Linked DNA regions of Macaca mulatta. The protein of the gene in region 2 interacts with the protein of the main gene of each other region in a pairwise test. Links are inferred from orthologs where the notes say so. Each region holds a gene or a part of one and is shown on either strand. Other genes may lie near its edges.

Region 1 (3,993 bases), on a different chromosome or scaffold from region 2:
GTGTACCACATCAGCCTCTACCCTGGTGACAAGAACTGTGCCCGCCTGCTGGCAGAGCTACCCAGGATGGAGGGAGGCGATGTGCAGGCAGGGCAGCAGGCGTGGTTCTGGCTGGGAGGGAAGGCTGGCAGTTGCCCAACCTGAGTCCCGTTGCCTGGACAAAGTCTCCCGCTACATGGGACAGGCGCCCAGAACTCTGAACTTGCCACAGCTGGGCTCCCATCACCACCTTGCACCTGAATGGGAAAGGCATGGCTCAAGCCAGGATCCCTCCCCAGGCAGCCATGGCAGATTGGGTCGTCAATATCGGGCAGAGCTTAGTCAGAGCCCTTTGCAGCACACTGCAGGGTCTTAACTCCCAACCCACATCCCCAACAAGAACCACCAGGAGGCTCTTGTTCTCCCCACCCTGAGCTGGGATACTCCTTTGGCCCAAACCCAGGAAGCCCATTTCACAGGGTAAGCAAAGGCCAGAAGGCCAGGACCCCAGGGTGAACTCCCCAGGCTAGAAAGTGCTAAGCCAGACCCTGCCTCCCTGGCTGCTGCCAGCCCAGTGTGGGAGGACTTGCCGGGTCTCACTTGACTTAGCCCAAAAGCTGAGCTGGGCTCCAAGGAGCAAGTCTGGTGGGATCGGGGACCCTTCTAGTGTCGGGACACAAAACTAGCCAGAAGCCCTACGTTCCCCCAGCTCTATGGTCCAGTCTTGCATTTCCTCAGTCACCACAGTAGCTGCAATCAGCCTAGGGAGAGGCTGGCTAGAGACTCCTGGCTGGGCACTGGGAGGCAGCGGTACCGGAAGTGCCCTCCCCAGGCCCATCGGGCAGCAGCAGCAGTAGCAGCGATGGGCATTCCGCCGCGTCGACACCCACTCACTGCCGCTGCCGCACTCACAGCAGAGACAGGAAGAGGCAAGCGCCCAACGCAAAGCAGCCCAGGAGGCTGGGCCGCCGCCCCTTCCCGCCCCTTCTCTTCCTCCCTGAGGCAGCAGCGAAGCGGATGCCATTTTGAAACCTCCGAGGCTGTGCCCCGGAGGCTAGGTCCGCAGGGACAGTCAACAGATGGGCCCATAATGAACATACATGCTGTTCCTCGGCCACAGGCCCAGCACGAAAAGCCTTGCTTTTCACAGCCTGGGAGCCCCATGACAGTTCTGAAGCTGAGGGGCCACACCCCCCCAGGCAGTACTCAGCCTACAACGGTGCTGTGCTGTTGCAAGGGCCTCCCTCCCCCGACTCTAAAACCCCCAAATCAAAATCAGACTGCCACTGGGCACCACCCCTACTTCCAGTGGGAGGTTGGATGGGGACAGCCAGTAGGCCCACTGTCTTTGCAAAAGGCCAGCTGGGATGCTCAGAAGCACCCTGGCCCACCCCTAGCTGGCCCCTCAACTCCTCATTCAGCTAGTCCACCATCCCCCTTCACAGGGTCCCAAGATCCAACAAGCCCCCGAACTCTCAGTGGCTACATCCCAGGCCTTGCAGCCCAGAAGGGGTGTGGGCAGCCCAGCACCTACTAGCAGATCTCTTGGGCTCACCCGCAGGGGCAGCAATATGTCGGCTATCTCACCACTTCCACTTCCCCCCACCCCTCTAGCAGCCACCATCTTTCCTGGCCTTGGAGGCGACCACAACCCTAACTCCTCCACACTCTCTCCTACTTCCCAGACTGGCCTTCGAAACTGGAAAACATAGAGCCCGCAGAGCCTCCCTGGGAAGCCTGAGGCCTGGCCCCCTCCCACAGCTTGACCAGTGGAGCCTCAGTCCAGCCCCGTGGGGGTTCTTCGTAAGGCAGCCTAGGCCCTCTCCAATCCGGGGCTCCCTCATCCTAGCCCAGCCCACTTGGTGCAGGAGAGGTGGAAGGATTGGGGAAGGCCAGAGTGTAAGAGGACTTAGTGGAGGATCAGCAGAAGGTTTCGGGAGTGATGCTTGCAGAGAAGGATCTGGAGGGCAGGAAGCAGGGAGCAGGGCTCGCTGAAGGGGTTCCAGTTGGAGAGCGGGCTCAAGAGCAGTTTCCCATTCCAGAGGTTCCTTGGGTCAGAACGCACAGGTGGAAGACACAGATTCCAGACTGGGGATGGGGCACAGAGGGAGAAGGAGGGAGTGGGTAGGGGGCCTGGCAGGGGCTCCGCGGGATGCTCATGCCCAACAGGAATAAAAGGCGCAGATGAGGAAAACAAGTGGAGCCTGAGGGTTGGGGAACAAGTGGCGGGCATCCTGGGGGTTTGGGTAAAGTGTAAGGAAGGATGGCGGGGTCTCTGAAGTTCTGTGAAGCTGGTTAGTAAGGGGGGATGGCCAAGCAGGGCACTGGACCGCGGGTGTTGGGGCACTGTTGGCTGGATTTGGAGGTCTGGGATGAGATAGGGATCTGGTCTAGAGTCTGGGCAGGATCGAAGGTCTAGCCCAACCTAGAGTTTTCAACCCTGGTCCTGGCCCAGGTGTGGGGTCCCAGACAGCCCGAGTCTGGGAGTTCGAAGCCCTAGTATGAGAGGTCAAAGTCCTTGTCTGGGGATTCGAGCTGGGAATTAAGGATCCCAGTGCGGGACGCGGCCTCACCCAACAGCAGCAACTTCACCTCCCGCGCCGCCTTCTCTCCGTCCTCCCGCAGGTTCTTGTCGATCATCTTAGAGCGCTCGGCCGCCGCCTTGTCCTCGGCGCTCACTGTGCAGCCCATCCCGCCGTCCGCCGGCCCGGCCGCCGCCCGGCCCCCACACGGCCCACGGCCCGGCTCGGCCCCGCCCGGCCCCGCCCGACCCGCTCCGCTCCCACTACCAGCCCTCTGCGGGAAGCTCTCGGGTCGGCAGTTCAGAGCGTCTGCAGGAGGCGCCTTCCCGACCGCCGCGCACCGACGGCGGGGCGGGCCGGGGGTGGGGCCTGGGCTAACCAAGCCCGGGACTGGGCCGGGGCGGGTCTGGAGGCGGGGCCAGAGGAGATTCGAGGCTGGTGATTGGCTTGAGGGCGGGGCGAAGGGGGAATGAGGCGCAGCCCAGGCTCGGGCCTCGGCTGCAGGCGTGGCCACGCGGAGCAAAGGCAATAGGGGTGGATCCAAACCCAGGGACCCGGCACTGGGCGGGTTGCAGGCGGGGCCGGGCTGTGATTGGGTGCGGAGCGCCGGGAGCTCAGTTGCTGGACAGCCGGGAGGGCGGATCTGTTAGCCCGAGGGTGGGGATCCGGTGCCCTCGAGGACAGAGCAGGAACCAGCGCTCTGAGCTTCTGCGAGTTGGGCGAGTTAGGTGGAGGAGGCGTGTCTTTGTCATTTGTTAAAGTTAATGAGTCCAATAAACTTGTTTTGGAATCTACAGAACTCGGGAGCCTTTCTGGACTGCGGTTTTCTTTGTCTTAAGGCGGTAAACCGCCTTCTCCCTCTGGGTTGCAGCAAATCGAAAAAGAAAAAACAAAGGCCGGGCCCAGGGACTCACGCCAGTAATCCCAGCACTTTTGGAGGCCGAGGCGAGCGGATCACTTGAGATCAGGAGTTCGAGACCAGCCTGGCCAACATGGTGAAACCCCGTCTCTACTAAAAATACAAAAATTAGCTGGGCGTGGTGGTGGGCGCCTGTAATCCCAGCTACTCAGGAGGCTGAGGCAAGAGAACTGCTTCAACCCGGGAGGCAGAGGTTGCAGTGAGCCGAGATCACGCCATTCATTGCACACCAGCTTGGGCGACAGAGCAAAACTCCATCTAAAAAGAAAAAAAGCCGGGCGCGGTGGCTCAAGCCTGTAATCCCAGCACTTTGGGAGGCCGAGACGGGCGGATCACGAGGTCAGAAGATCGAGACCATCCTGGCTAACATGATGAAACCCCGTCTCCACTAAAAATACAAAAAACTAGCCGGGCGAGGTGGCGGGCGCCTGTAGTCCCAGCTACTCGGGAGGCTGAGGCAGGAGAATGGTGTGAACCCGGGAGGCAGAGCTTGCAGTGAGCTGAGATCCGGCCACTGCACTCCAGCCTGGGCGACAGAGCAAGACTCCGTCTCAAAAAAAAAAAAAAAATGGG
Region 2 (3,303 bases):
CCCCAGCCGTAACCCCTGCTGCCTATGCTGGTGCTGCTGCTGTAGCTGCTCCTGGTGAGTAGGGCCTGGGGTGCCCAGCTGGAGAGGGGCTGGAGGGCCTGGGGCCAAGCAGACCCAGGAGGGGACCCAGTGGTGGCTTCTGAGGAATCCCCGCAGGTAGGGTGCTCCTGCCACCTCGCGGCGTGTCCTGTCTGGGGTCTGTTGGGCCCTGGTGATGAGTGGCCGGTGCCTTGGGCCCAGGGGACTTATGTGTGGTTCTTGTACCTGTCTTGCCAAGGGTGTGTCGGTGTGCTGTGTACACGCATGTGCCCGTTCACACGGCATGTGCTTATCCATGCTGCTGTGAGCCAGCCCAGGCTGGGCCCTGGGGGCCTGCGATGGAGTAAGACAGGCACAGGCCGGGCGCGGTGGCTCACGCCTGTAATCCCAGCACTTTGGGAGGCTGAGGCGGGCGGATCATCTGAGGTCAGGAGTTCGAAACCAGCCTGACCAACATGGAGAAACCCCGTCTCTACTAAAAATACAAAATTAGCCGGGTGTGGTGACGCATGCCTGTAATCCCAGCTACTCAGGAGGCTGAGGCAGGAGAATGGCTTGAACCTGGGAGGTGGAGGTTGCAATGAGCCGAGATCACGCCATTGCATTCCAGCCTGGGCAATAAGAGCAAAACTCTGTCTCAAAATAAAAGAAAGAAAGAGAGAGAAAGAGAGGCACAGACCCCACAGACTGTGTGGGGTGGAGGGACGTTTGAGCAGAGACTCGAATAAGGCAACTGCTGGCCCTGGGGTGATAGCCAAGAGCTTCCCGGACAGCATGCGTCGGGGGAGAAGAGCACAGGGTGGTGGGGGGGTCTTTGGGCATCCCTGTGAGGGTGGGAGTGGGGCTCCCAGATGGTAACAGATTTCCTAGGAGGGTAGGGGAGCTGGTGCATGTTTTCATGCCTTCCGACCCTGGCCGATGAGAGGACAGCGCTTCTGGACCCAACGTGGGGTCAGCTGACCCATGGGCAAGCTGGGGGTGGCCAGGGGGCAGTCGGGAAAGGGGCTGGGAGGAGCCCAGGGGCCTAGTTCCGTCAGGACGTCTGGGTGCACGATGTCTGCCAGCCGTGCCCTGGAGAAAGATCAGCCGGCTATGGATTTGGGTCCAGCATTGACAGGGTACTAGGAGCCAAGGCAAAGAAGCAGTTTCCCTTGAGAGAACCAGGGATCAGGCTCCAGGACCTAACCAGTGTGGACACATGGGTTTGGGGCTTTCAGTGGTGTCAGCTGACGAGACACACTGCTGACATGCCAGACCTGCAGCGTGTGGCCCCATCAGTGGGACAGGGACAGGCCAAGAACAGGCCGAGGAGCAGGGTGGCCATGTTCCTAGGCACACTCTCATGGGTGTCCCTGTTCCCAGGCACATGACCCTTCTGGCATCCCAGGTGTTCAGGCATCTCCCAGCTCCTTGTGGCCCCTCAGCTTGCCCCAACCCATCTCCCCTAGGGGAGCAGAGGCAGAAGGGGAGGTGGCATACCTGCTTCTCAGCCTCATGTGGGGTGGGCATGGGTGGGTGGAGGAGGTTGCCCAGTGGGCCAGGGATGGGGAGGAGCACCAGGAGCCAAAGGGTCCCTCCTGGAGGGCCAGAGACTCACGGGCACTGGGTCAAGGTGCTGGGATGGAAGAGGGCTGAGTCCGTGGGCACTGTGGCAGGGACAGTAACCTGGACTGCAGATTCCGTGGAGAATTCGGGAACGACTGACAGGGAGCATGGACACCCTTTCCCAGGAGATTGTGGGAGGAGCTAGCTGCAGGGGCTGCCCTCCTACAGTGGGTACACATGTGTGTCAGATGCCTGCCCATGTGCTGAGGGCCTGTGTGGCCATGGAGGCGTGTGTGCCCACGGCAGTGCCGCTTCCTCTCTGCCACTAGGAACCAAGAGCGGCGGCGCGCGTGGCAGGCCTCCCGGGAGAGCAAGCTGCAGCCCCTCCCCAGCTGTGAAGTATGGTGAGTCCAGCCGGCTGGTGTGTGCGTGTTGGGGGGCCCCAGGCTGGGAGACTTGAGCCTGACGTAGCCTGGCCCCAATGCCCGCAGTGCCACGCCAAGTCCTGAGGAGGTGCAGAGCTGGGCCCAGTCTTTTGACAAGCTGATGCACAGCCCGGCGGGACGCAGCGTGTTCCGGGCGTTCCTGCGGACAGAGTACAGCGAGGAGAACATGCTCTTCTGGCTGGCCTGTGAGGAGCTGAAGGCCGAGGCCAACCAGCACGTGGTGGACGAGAAGGCGAGGCTCATCTACGAGGACTACGTGTCCATCCTGTCCCCCAAGGAGGTGCGCCGGACACCACAAGGGGCAGGGGGCCGCCTGCTCCGGGCACTAGGTGGGGAAGGCACCTCCCAAGCCCCCTGACCTCAGTGCCTTGTCCTACAGGTGAGCCTGGACTCCCGTGTGCGGGAGGGCATCAACAAGAAGATGCAGGAGCCGTCCGCACACACGTTTGACGACGCACAGCTGCAGATCTACACACTCATGCACCGGGACTCCTACCCACGCTTTCTCAGCTCTCCCACCTACCGTGCCCTGCTGCTGCAGGGGCCGTCACAGTCCTCCTCCGAGGCCTAGGCCGCCCCCAGCAGCACAGACCCCACCGCCTCCTATGGCCGACTCTGGGTTGCCTTCAGGTGTTGGCTGTCGGGGCACACACCTGCGGGCCCAGCCTGGCCGGCTGGGGTCCCCAGCCGTGGAGACGGTCCTAGACCCAGTGGGGAGTGCTGTGCCTCCTGGCTCTGCCCACCCGTGGCCAAGCAGGAACTCCAGGTGCAGGGTGGGCCAGAAGCCTTCTCATCGGCCCACAGCTGGCTGGCCCAGGGCTCCTGGTGGGGGCTCTTGCATGGTGAGAGTAGGGGCCCCCCCAGGAGCCATGCTGGACCCAGGAGCCTCGTTGGGGCCTCTTCCCCAGGCAGCTGACGGGCCCCGGACAAGCCTTGGTGGGGAGCAGAACCTCTGCATCATGTAGTTCTATGACATAAGGAGACCTCCTACTTGAGCTGTCTGTACCCCAGAATCAAACCCAGAACCTCAGAACCAGATGTAGGACCTCAGAATCCTGCACTCAAGGTGGCAGGACCCAATTTCTGTTTTATATGTTCATGAACTTTAAACCTGGAAACATATCCTTACTAGGTGTTTTATCAAAAAAAAAGTTTTCATATTTATCTCTATCCCTAACCCCCCAAAAATAGGATGTCTTATTATTGAAGATATTTTTAAAGCACAAGTCTCTACTCATTTTTGTCCAAGTGTGGGGAGAGACTGGAGAATGAG
Region 3 (4,173 bases), about 87 Mb from region 2:
AGAGGAAACATTCCCAGGGAGGTTACGGGATGATGCTGAGATGCCATAGTGTCCGGCTGGCAAAGCCAGGCACAGTAGCCCCTGCCTCCCCACCACAGAGCTACGATGGAGAGACCACTCTATTGACCTCTGCCATGGTCAGGTCCAGGGCTGCTGCTCAAAGAATGGCACGATCCACATAATTTGACCACAAAGGTGTAAGGTGATAAGGAAGGTGTTAGCTGGGAAGGCATCTGCACTTTGCCAGGGATGCTCTAGGATACACAAAGCTTCAGGTTACAAAGATGGAGAAGACAGAGAGCAGCATTCACGTCTTGGCCCTCTGGCTTGAGAGTCTTTTAAGCATGGAAGTGAGGGGGCTCCTGGCCCTGAGGTCCACAGACAGGCTTTGAAATTGAAAGCAGAATTTTGCAGCCTGGGTTCAGCTGCATTCTGCTGAGGGTCTGATGCTTTCCACGAGCTTCCCAACAGCGCCAATGGCCTTAACTGAACTGGCTCCCTCACTTTTTTCTGGGCTGGGGGCCAGCTCCTTGGTCCTTCTCCCTTCCTTCCCTCCCAAGGCCACCTTTCCGTGTGCCAGGATTGCCAGGGACGCCAAAGAGCCCCTACACACTGGAGCAGCAGAGATGACTAATGCCCCCTCCCATCGCGGCACAAACCTCACCGTTGTAAATCGTTAGGGTTTGCATAGGCCTTTCACACGTTCTGAAGGATTGGTGAGACAATCCAGGAAAGCAGGTGCCACTAGCCCCACTTTGCAAACAGAAAGGCTGGAAGAGGTCAGTCGGTTGCCCAAGGACGCAGAGCTCACAAGAGGCCGAGCTGGGTTTGAACCCGAGTGGAGAGAAGGTGAGCCGGGACGACTGGCTGCAGTTAAGAGGGCCAGGGCCATGACTGGGCTCAGGCTCGTTTTCCCGGGCTGCCAGAAGTAGCCCCTCGGGCTCGGCTACCAGGCCTCAGCGCAGCGGAGTCACTGGGACGCCGGCGCGGGGAGCGCGTGCGGGACCGCGGCGCGCGCGGAGTCGCGACCCCGCCCCTGTCCGTCCCCATTGGACTGTTGGCCCGTCCGTCAGCTGCTTGTGCCCAATGGACAGAGGGTCGGAGCTCGTGGCGGGGCGGAGGTGCCCGGCGCGTGGTGCCCGGCGGGCGCGCGGCACCCCCCGCCCGCGGTTGGCCTGGCAACGGGCTGCGCTCGCGGCTCCGCCCCCTGCCGGCGGCGGCTCGGCGCGGGGCGGGCGGACCAGCGGGCGGGCGGCGGGCGGCGCGGGAGGGCGGGCGGAGGGAGCCAGGCCGGCCGGAGCGTGTGCGCCGCCCGCGGTCCGGTCACGTCCCCGCGTGGGCGCCGCCGCCCGCGTCGTACGGAACGAGGGCGCCGCGGCCCCGCGCTCGCCGCCCCGCCCCGCCCCGCCCTGCCAGGAGCAGCTCAGCAGATGCTCTGTGCCGCGGCCCGGAGGTGAGTGAGCCGACCCGCGGCCGGGCGCGCGCCGCTGAGCCTCGGGGGTCGGGAGCATGACCGGGGCGTCCACCTTGCCCTCACTTGGTACTCCTCCCGGGCCTTTGTGCCCCGAATCCGCCAGGACGCAGCGTCAGGGATGCCCGTCAGGGGTGGGGGACACCAAGGGCGGGGACGTCTGCGAGGTGGGCAGGGGGCGGCCTCTGGTCGGGCAGGTGCCGGGGGAGGGAGGCGCCGCCAAGCCCATGACCCCGCGGGAGGGGGCGGCTGCGGACCCGGGACGATGGACAGAGGGCGCCGGGGATGCCGCGCGGGGCTGCCGGGCGCCCCCGAGCAGCGGCTGGTGCGGAGCCTGGGCGGGCAAGGCGAGCTGCGGGAGCGGCGCTGAGGCGGGTCTCCCTAGAGGGGGATCAGGGAGGGGCGGCCGGAGCTGATGCAGGGCCTTTCCCGAAACCAAGGAAAGGGCCCCAGAGGCCTGGGCCCGAGGACCTGGGCCCGGAGACGGACGGCTAGTAGTTCTCGGTCACTCACTGCTCTTGAAGCGAGCAGGTTCCTCACAGGCATTTAGAGCAAGAGATGAGTATCGACCTGCTGCGATTGTAATACGTTCCCGGCTCAATATTTTTTGCCTTAAAAGGCGGTGGGGGTGTTTGGGGGAGGGGAGTGAGGGCCTCAGGGCAGGCGCTCCGTATCCTGCGGGCGATCCGAGGGGGCTCTGCCTTTAGGGCGGTGCTGAGCCTTTCTGGGTGATGATGGCAGGATTCGGCCTAGGCCGAGAATTGGGGCTCCTGTTACTGAGACAAGAGGACGATGCCAAGCAAGACCAGTGTTCCACGGAGTCCGTGTTGAGGTGGAGGGACCCGCCTGGTAGAGAGGTCTGTCTTGCTTGGGGAGACAGCTCAGCCCCTGACCGGCTCCTTTCTGCCCAAGTGATTTCCCTGCCCTGGGGATTGAGCTCTCTGGAGAAGGCTCCTTGGCCAAATTCAATTAAGCAAATATTTACTGAGTGCTCACTCCCCGAGGGCCTGGTGCTGGGGTGCACCGGGTGGGAGTGGACTGGGCCTCCCCTCCCAGAACTGATTCTCCACCCCATAGGGGAAAACGTCTCTACTCGGCCAACCCAGCCTGAGTGCAGGTGCAGGGGCCTTGGTAGGGACCTTAGAGTGGTGCCCTGCGCTGGGGGGTCAGGTGAGCCCGTGGACAACATGACATTTGAACTGGAGCTTGAAGGACATGGGCACAGCTAAGCTGGGCATTGTGGGCAGAGAGGAGAGAATGGACCAAGGCACTTGGGCGGTTAGGTCTAATGGGAGCACCGGCAAGCCTGGGGAGGAGTGGGAGGTATGGCGGGAAAGGCGGGTGGGGGCTGCACGGAGCTGAGGGAGCTTGGAAGTGGAATGACCTCGCTGCTGGTTAGCTGTGGCTGTGGTGGAAACCACAGCTTCCTCATCTGTAAAAGCGAAGCAGTTCCATGACCCCATGAGCTGGGGTGGGCCTGGAGAAGGGCTAGCTTAAAAGACTGGGGAAGGCTCCTTGCAGTCTGAGTCTGTGCTTCCAGGCACTTCTCCCTTGGGCACAGCCAGGGCACCGGGTAACCACCCAGGCAACCCCCTTGTTAGGATTGAGTTGCCTGTTTTGGGGATGATGCTTAGCTGGTGACTCTGTGCCTCTGGGATGTGGATGTTTGAGAGCAGTAATCGTGGCAGCCTGGGAGCATCCATCTAGGGGGTGCAGTGGGGGTGTGGATGGCCTGGCGGTGCTTGGATAAAATATGCGCCTTAAGCAAGCCTCATTCTCTAGGAATGAGAAGATGCTGGCATCTGGTTTAAAAGTCTTCCTGTGTGTTCCTCTAACAGACGTTGATTTTCTGAGACAGGAGGTGAATAAGGCATAATTTCTCCCCCTCGGAAGCTGGTGTCACTTTCTGCCCTAGGTCAGCCCCCTCATTTCTGGGGATGTTTTGCTCTCCCTCTGAAGGAACTGTTTGTTACTCATCTTTGTGGTGTTCCTGCCCTCCCCACCCAACACACACTTGGCTTTGGCCAAGGCCCAGGTTGATGCAGCGAGAACAGGGCCTGCCCTCGTGGGGTGTGCAGTCTGTGCTGAGCAGGGTGAGCTGCTGCGCTCTGTGCCTGTCGCCTGGACAGTTGCAGGGACCTGGCATGCAACTGTGGGTTTGGGACACCAGGAATGGATTCTTCCCTCTGTCCCCAGCCTCTCAGGCCTTTTGTTTTCTAGTCTCAGGAGGAACCTCAGAGACCTGGAGGCCCCACCAGAGTGGCTGGAACCCGATGCAGGAGTGTGGGTGGGGCTCAGTCTGGACCTCAGGAGCTTCTAGAACAATTCCAGGAATTTGCAGGTAACTGGATGGACTTGACAGGGCTGCCCAGGGCCCCCGCAGAGAGGCCAGTAGGACAGGAATGCTGAATATAGCAATTTAGGAATGCTGAATTTAGTCATCTTGTGTGTGAACACATGTGTGCAGCTTCCTCCTCTGGAGGCAGGGAAGGCAGCCCTGTGCTGTCTGTCCCACGCTAGCCTCAGAAGACTTAATTGTGTGGCGGCAAAGGCACTCTCACTGCTGCTGACCATGGCAGATGCACGGGCGCACTGGAGGAGGCAGGTCAGCACTCTGCTCTCCCGAACCCTCCAGGAAGGAAACCTGGGGTAGCCAAGCCTCTGGGTGCCTGTGAGCACTGTGCTTGGCTGGAAGGAGCACA
Region 4 (4,034 bases), on a different chromosome or scaffold from region 2:
CTAGCTCACAAGCGTGGTCTCAGTGACCTACTCGAAAGCTATTCTGCTTGTATCATCAGTTCAGCCTCACCTTGGAAAACTCAAGCCCAGTTTTCTCAAATGATTTTTAGATAATAAGATTTCCAGATGAAAACCAGGGAGCATTTCCCAATTTTTAATACATCAAGGAAGATGTTTTTCCTTGCTACCAGTCCCATTTTCTAATCAGTTAACGCTTCCTGTGATATCTGTAGGGGAAAGGTGTAGTGCAATTGACAGGGAGAGATGAGATCTTAAGCCTCTGCTCATTCATTGGGTGCTGAGTAGTAATGCCTCCTGCAGGCCACAGGAACTTATCTCGGGCGGATCAGTTACAGCTGGAAGGATGGGGCCATAGCCCCATAAATGCACTCCTCATTTTATGGGGAAAGAAGCTAAGGCCTGTAAAAACGACATGCCCAGTGGTACAGGAGTTACAAACACGGTAATAAATATTGGCTCAAAATTTGGCATGGAAGCTTATGTGCTGCTCTAGAGGAGATCTGCTATGATGTGGAGATTGGCTTGTTGTGGGTGTATTTTATTGCTCTTATCATTTAAAAGTACTTTTTGATTATTTGTCTCCCATTTTTTTAGGTTACAAGGAAATCCTTCAAAATGAGTTCTTGTGAAAAACCTGAGAATGGAAGGAAGGAGGGAGGGATAGGAAGAAGGAAAGAGAAGCAAAAGGTAGGAAGAAAGTTGACCTTGTTGCCCTTTCCTAGTCTCCTCCCCCGACTTTCCTGTTCTCCACTGTGTCCATCTCTGGTTTCACCAGGCTCCATTCCTTCCCCAGCTCCCTGTTTCCCACGGCCCTGAAAGCCAGCCGACAGGGATTTGCATTTTGAAAAGCCTTGTGTGGCTGCCGGCGCTGGGCATGCTCAAACGCCCAGAACTGGCTTTTTTCGGCAACTTTGGCAGCTCTCCCACCCCTACCCGAAAGGGCAGGTACGCACAGCTCCGTTGGTGTGAGTAAACGGAAAGAAATTACCCCACTCCCGCCCAGGGCAGAAGGCCACAGGCCCGCGGGTCAGTGTTGTGCTCCGGGGACGCTGCCAGGGGGCGCCGGGCCCTCGGGGGTGTCGCGGCGCCGCGGTAGGGAGCCGGGGGGCGCGCGCGCCCCTCCGAGTGGGCGCTGTCCAAGGGCACGTGCGCGGGCGCGCGCTCTGGGAGTGGTCGCGGGGTGGCAGGAGGGGCGGGGCCGCGGCGGCGCGCGGAGGCCGAGCTCGGCTGGGCTTGGCGAGGCTGCGGCGCGGCCACCGGCGGGAGGGCAGCAGTCACTGTACCCAGAGCTTCAAAACCCCAAACCGGAGACTTGGGGGCGCTGAGCCGCACCGGGAAGCAGAGCCTGGCCGTGAGGAACAGCCGCGCGTTGCTGTCTGCCCCTCTGCGGACGGCGTCTCTCTCGACTCCGCTTAGGAAGTGGTGGGGGTGGCGTGGCCCCCGTCGGGAGGCGTTCGAACGCCCGCTCAGAGAGAGAAAGGATTCCCCTGTGCTTGGAGCCCGCACTCGGGCGCGGAGGGAGCGGCGGCAGGCTCTCGCTCTCGGCAACATGGGCTGCACGCTGAGCGCCGAGGACAAGGCGGCGGTGGAGCGGAGTAAGATGATCGACCGCAACCTCCGCGAGGACGGCGAGAAGGCGGCGCGCGAGGTCAAGCTGCTGCTGCTTGGTAAGGGCGGCCGGGTCGGGGACCCCGGGTCGGCGGGGGACCGGGCGCGGCGCTCCGCGGTGACCGCTGCGCGGCCCTCGGCGTTTGGAAACCCGGAGGGAAGGGGAGGAAGCGCCCGAGGAGGCTTCCGAGCGGGAGCTAGGTCAGGCGGTGCGCAGCCGAGGCGGGTCCTCCTCTCCGGGTGCCCGGCCTCCCTCCGCCCCGGCGGGCGAGGACTCCCCGTGGTGGGGCGGGCGCGTCACTTCTCTCGGATGCCTTCGGCGACCCAGCAAAGAGCCCAGGCGCGAGTCCGAGGCGGCGGGTCCTGTGGAAACCCTTTGCTTTGAAGTTTAGCTCAGCCTTACAAAGACGAAGGGGCATTCGTGGCTAGAAAATAACCACCCCCCCACGCCGTCCCCAGCCCCCTCCCGGAAAACCCTTCTTCGTGTGAGGTGTGGGTTGTGTTTCGACTGTGGTTTTCTCATGCCCAGAGTGCCACGTTTGGTGAAATCAGTGCACCTTTTGTGGGGTCTCTGAGATGGGGCTGAAATGTCTTTCCTGTTAACTTCCTATGGCGACTCCTTAAGTGGTCAAGGAGCATCGATTACATTCCGCCTGCGCTGGGGAAAGGCTGCGCTGGATGCTTGATTTTTCTTGCTGTAGGGGCATGGAAGCCACCCAAGTGGGGTTGGGAAGCTTTGCTTTAGTAGTAGGCAAGACTCGAGTGGTGAAAACTGCTGTGAAAGGAGCGAGAGGGTCACGCCAGACAACACGGTTCTCCCTCCGCTGCCACCGTTTCTGATGAATGAGATTTGCCAGGTACACGCAAGGCTTTTATTTGTTCTTCGCACTGTTCTGTTCGTGAAACGCTACGTGGAGGTCTTTTCCAAATGTTTGACAGGGAAGAAAATAAAAAAGAGTAAACCAGGGTTTTCATTGAGGGAAGCAGTAGGAAAATAGTCACAGGTTAAGATTTGTGAGTTAGGGTTTTCTTTTGTTTGCATGTTTTCTTCTCACACTCTAGGTATTTAGATGAAAAATTTCTCAGAATCTTCATTTGCATTTCCAAGGACTGCTTTTATTTTTATACCAGTTATAATAAAAAAGAAATGTTGCACAAACCTGTTTTCAGTAAGCTTCTGTTTCATTGGTTTAATGACTGCAGAAAAAATGGTGGTTTTTTTTTCTCCATTACTAGTAGGCTTGGGAGCAGCAAAGTTGGCATGACTAAAAGTAATAATGATCTGAGTCATTTTGCAAGTAAACTGTGAAATAACTTTGCATTTTAAAGACCTGCGTGGCTTTTTTCACCCTCTCGCCCCCAACATAAGTCTTTCTCAGTTAATGCTGTTGCCTAAGTTTTTACATTATTAAGAAATACTGTGTTTTGAGGAGGTTAGTGTATCTGCTTCTCTTGTGAATTGAATGTGAGATAGATATGAAATGAAAGGATTAAAAAGTTTTTTTCTTGCAGTTTTTGCTCTCCTGGTGTGATATGTTGTTTCAGTGTATTTTTGTGTGACTCTTAGTTTGAGCCAGCCATCCACCATGTTTAAAGCAATTGAGAAATGAATCATCTGGTCGTGGTGTTTTGTCCTTTAATTAGGTGACTGTTAGGGATGGACTAGAATAAAGGTCCCAGGAGGAGGCTTTTGCTTGTGTTCAGAAGAGATCAGTGTGTCTTAACCTTAGCACGGTTGGCATTTGGGGCCGGGAAATTCTTTGTTGTGCAGGTTGTTTTTGTGCATTGTAGGATGTTCAGCAGCATCTTTGGCCTCCACTCATTAGATGGTAGTAGCAGTCCCCCAACCTATGAGCTCCAAAAGCGTTTCCACATATTGCTAGAAGTCCTCTGGGGGCAATATACAGCCTTAGTTAAGGACCACTGTTCTAGATTAACACTTAAATATAATTGAATGTATAATATAGAATCAGAAGGTGAATCTTTACAGTCATCATAGTGAGTTTGGAGAGAGATGTAGCAGAGGCCTTATTTTCAGAAGAAATTATGGAATTCTTATTTCTGTTTTGTTTTTGTTTGTTTTTTTGAGACGGAGTCTTGCTCTGTCGCCCAGGCTGGAGTGCAGTGGCCCGATCTCGGCTCACAGCAACCTTCGCCTCCTGGTTCGAGCCATTCTCCTGCCTCAGCCTCCGGAGTAGCTGGAACTACGGGTGCGTGCCACCATGCCTGGCTAATTTTGTGTTTTTAGTAGAGACCGGGTTTCCCCATGTTGGCCAGGCTTGTCTCGAACTCCTGACCTCAGGTGATCCGCCCGCCTCGGCCTCCCAAAGTCCTGGGATTACAGGCGTGAGCCACCTCGCCTGACCAGAATTCTTATTTCGTTAAACCAGTACTAGCACCATTAG

What was found. The genes of interacting proteins can lie anywhere in the genome.
Region 1: the proteins of RGS19 (region 2) and GNAI2 interact in a two-hybrid assay, tested with the Homo sapiens proteins (2 studies listed by BioGRID and IntAct). The link is inferred for Macaca mulatta from reciprocal best matches to the Homo sapiens genes RGS19 and GNAI2.
Region 3: the proteins of RGS19 (region 2) and GNAZ interact in a two-hybrid assay, tested with the Homo sapiens proteins (2 studies listed by BioGRID). The link is inferred for Macaca mulatta from reciprocal best matches to the Homo sapiens genes RGS19 and GNAZ.
Region 4: the proteins of RGS19 (region 2) and GNAI1 interact in a two-hybrid assay, tested with the Homo sapiens proteins (2 studies listed by BioGRID). The link is inferred for Macaca mulatta from reciprocal best matches to the Homo sapiens genes RGS19 and GNAI1.

The regions. Positions count from the first base shown.
Region 1 is NC_133407.1:113,710,040-113,714,032, reverse strand, and holds the start of GNAI2 (guanine nucleotide-binding protein G(i) subunit alpha-2), read right to left. Parts: upstream 2,801-3,993; 5' UTR 2,671-2,800; coding exon 2,553-2,670; exon of another isoform or gene 2,232-2,552; intron 1-2,231. UniProt on the Homo sapiens protein: Guanine nucleotide-binding proteins (G proteins) are involved as modulators or transducers in various transmembrane signaling systems.
Region 2 is NC_133415.1:116,963,748-116,967,050, reverse strand, and holds the end of RGS19 (regulator of G-protein signaling 19), read left to right. Parts: coding exon 1-54; intron 55-1,913; coding exon 1,914-1,988; intron 1,989-2,075; coding exon 2,076-2,310; intron 2,311-2,409; coding exon 2,410-2,601; 3' UTR 2,602-2,803; downstream 2,804-3,303. UniProt on the Homo sapiens protein: Inhibits signal transduction by increasing the GTPase activity of G protein alpha subunits thereby driving them into their inactive GDP-bound form. Binds to G-alpha subfamily 1 members, with the order G(i)a3 > G(i)a1 > G(o)a >> G(z)a/G(i)a2.
Region 3 is NC_133415.1:29,524,276-29,528,448, reverse strand, and holds the start of GNAZ (guanine nucleotide-binding protein G(z) subunit alpha), read left to right. Parts: upstream 1-1,373; 5' UTR 1,374-1,453; exon of another isoform or gene 1,454-1,638; intron 1,639-3,691; exon of another isoform or gene 3,692-3,812; intron 3,813-4,173. UniProt on the Homo sapiens protein: Guanine nucleotide-binding proteins (G proteins) are involved as modulators or transducers in various transmembrane signaling systems.
Region 4 is NC_133408.1:139,347,589-139,351,622, reverse strand, and holds the start of GNAI1 (guanine nucleotide-binding protein G(i) subunit alpha-1), read left to right. Parts: upstream 1-1,234; 5' UTR 1,235-1,570; coding exon 1,571-1,688; intron 1,689-1,826; exon of another isoform or gene 1,827-2,486; intron 2,487-4,034. UniProt on the Homo sapiens protein: Guanine nucleotide-binding proteins (G proteins) function as transducers downstream of G protein-coupled receptors (GPCRs) in numerous signaling cascades.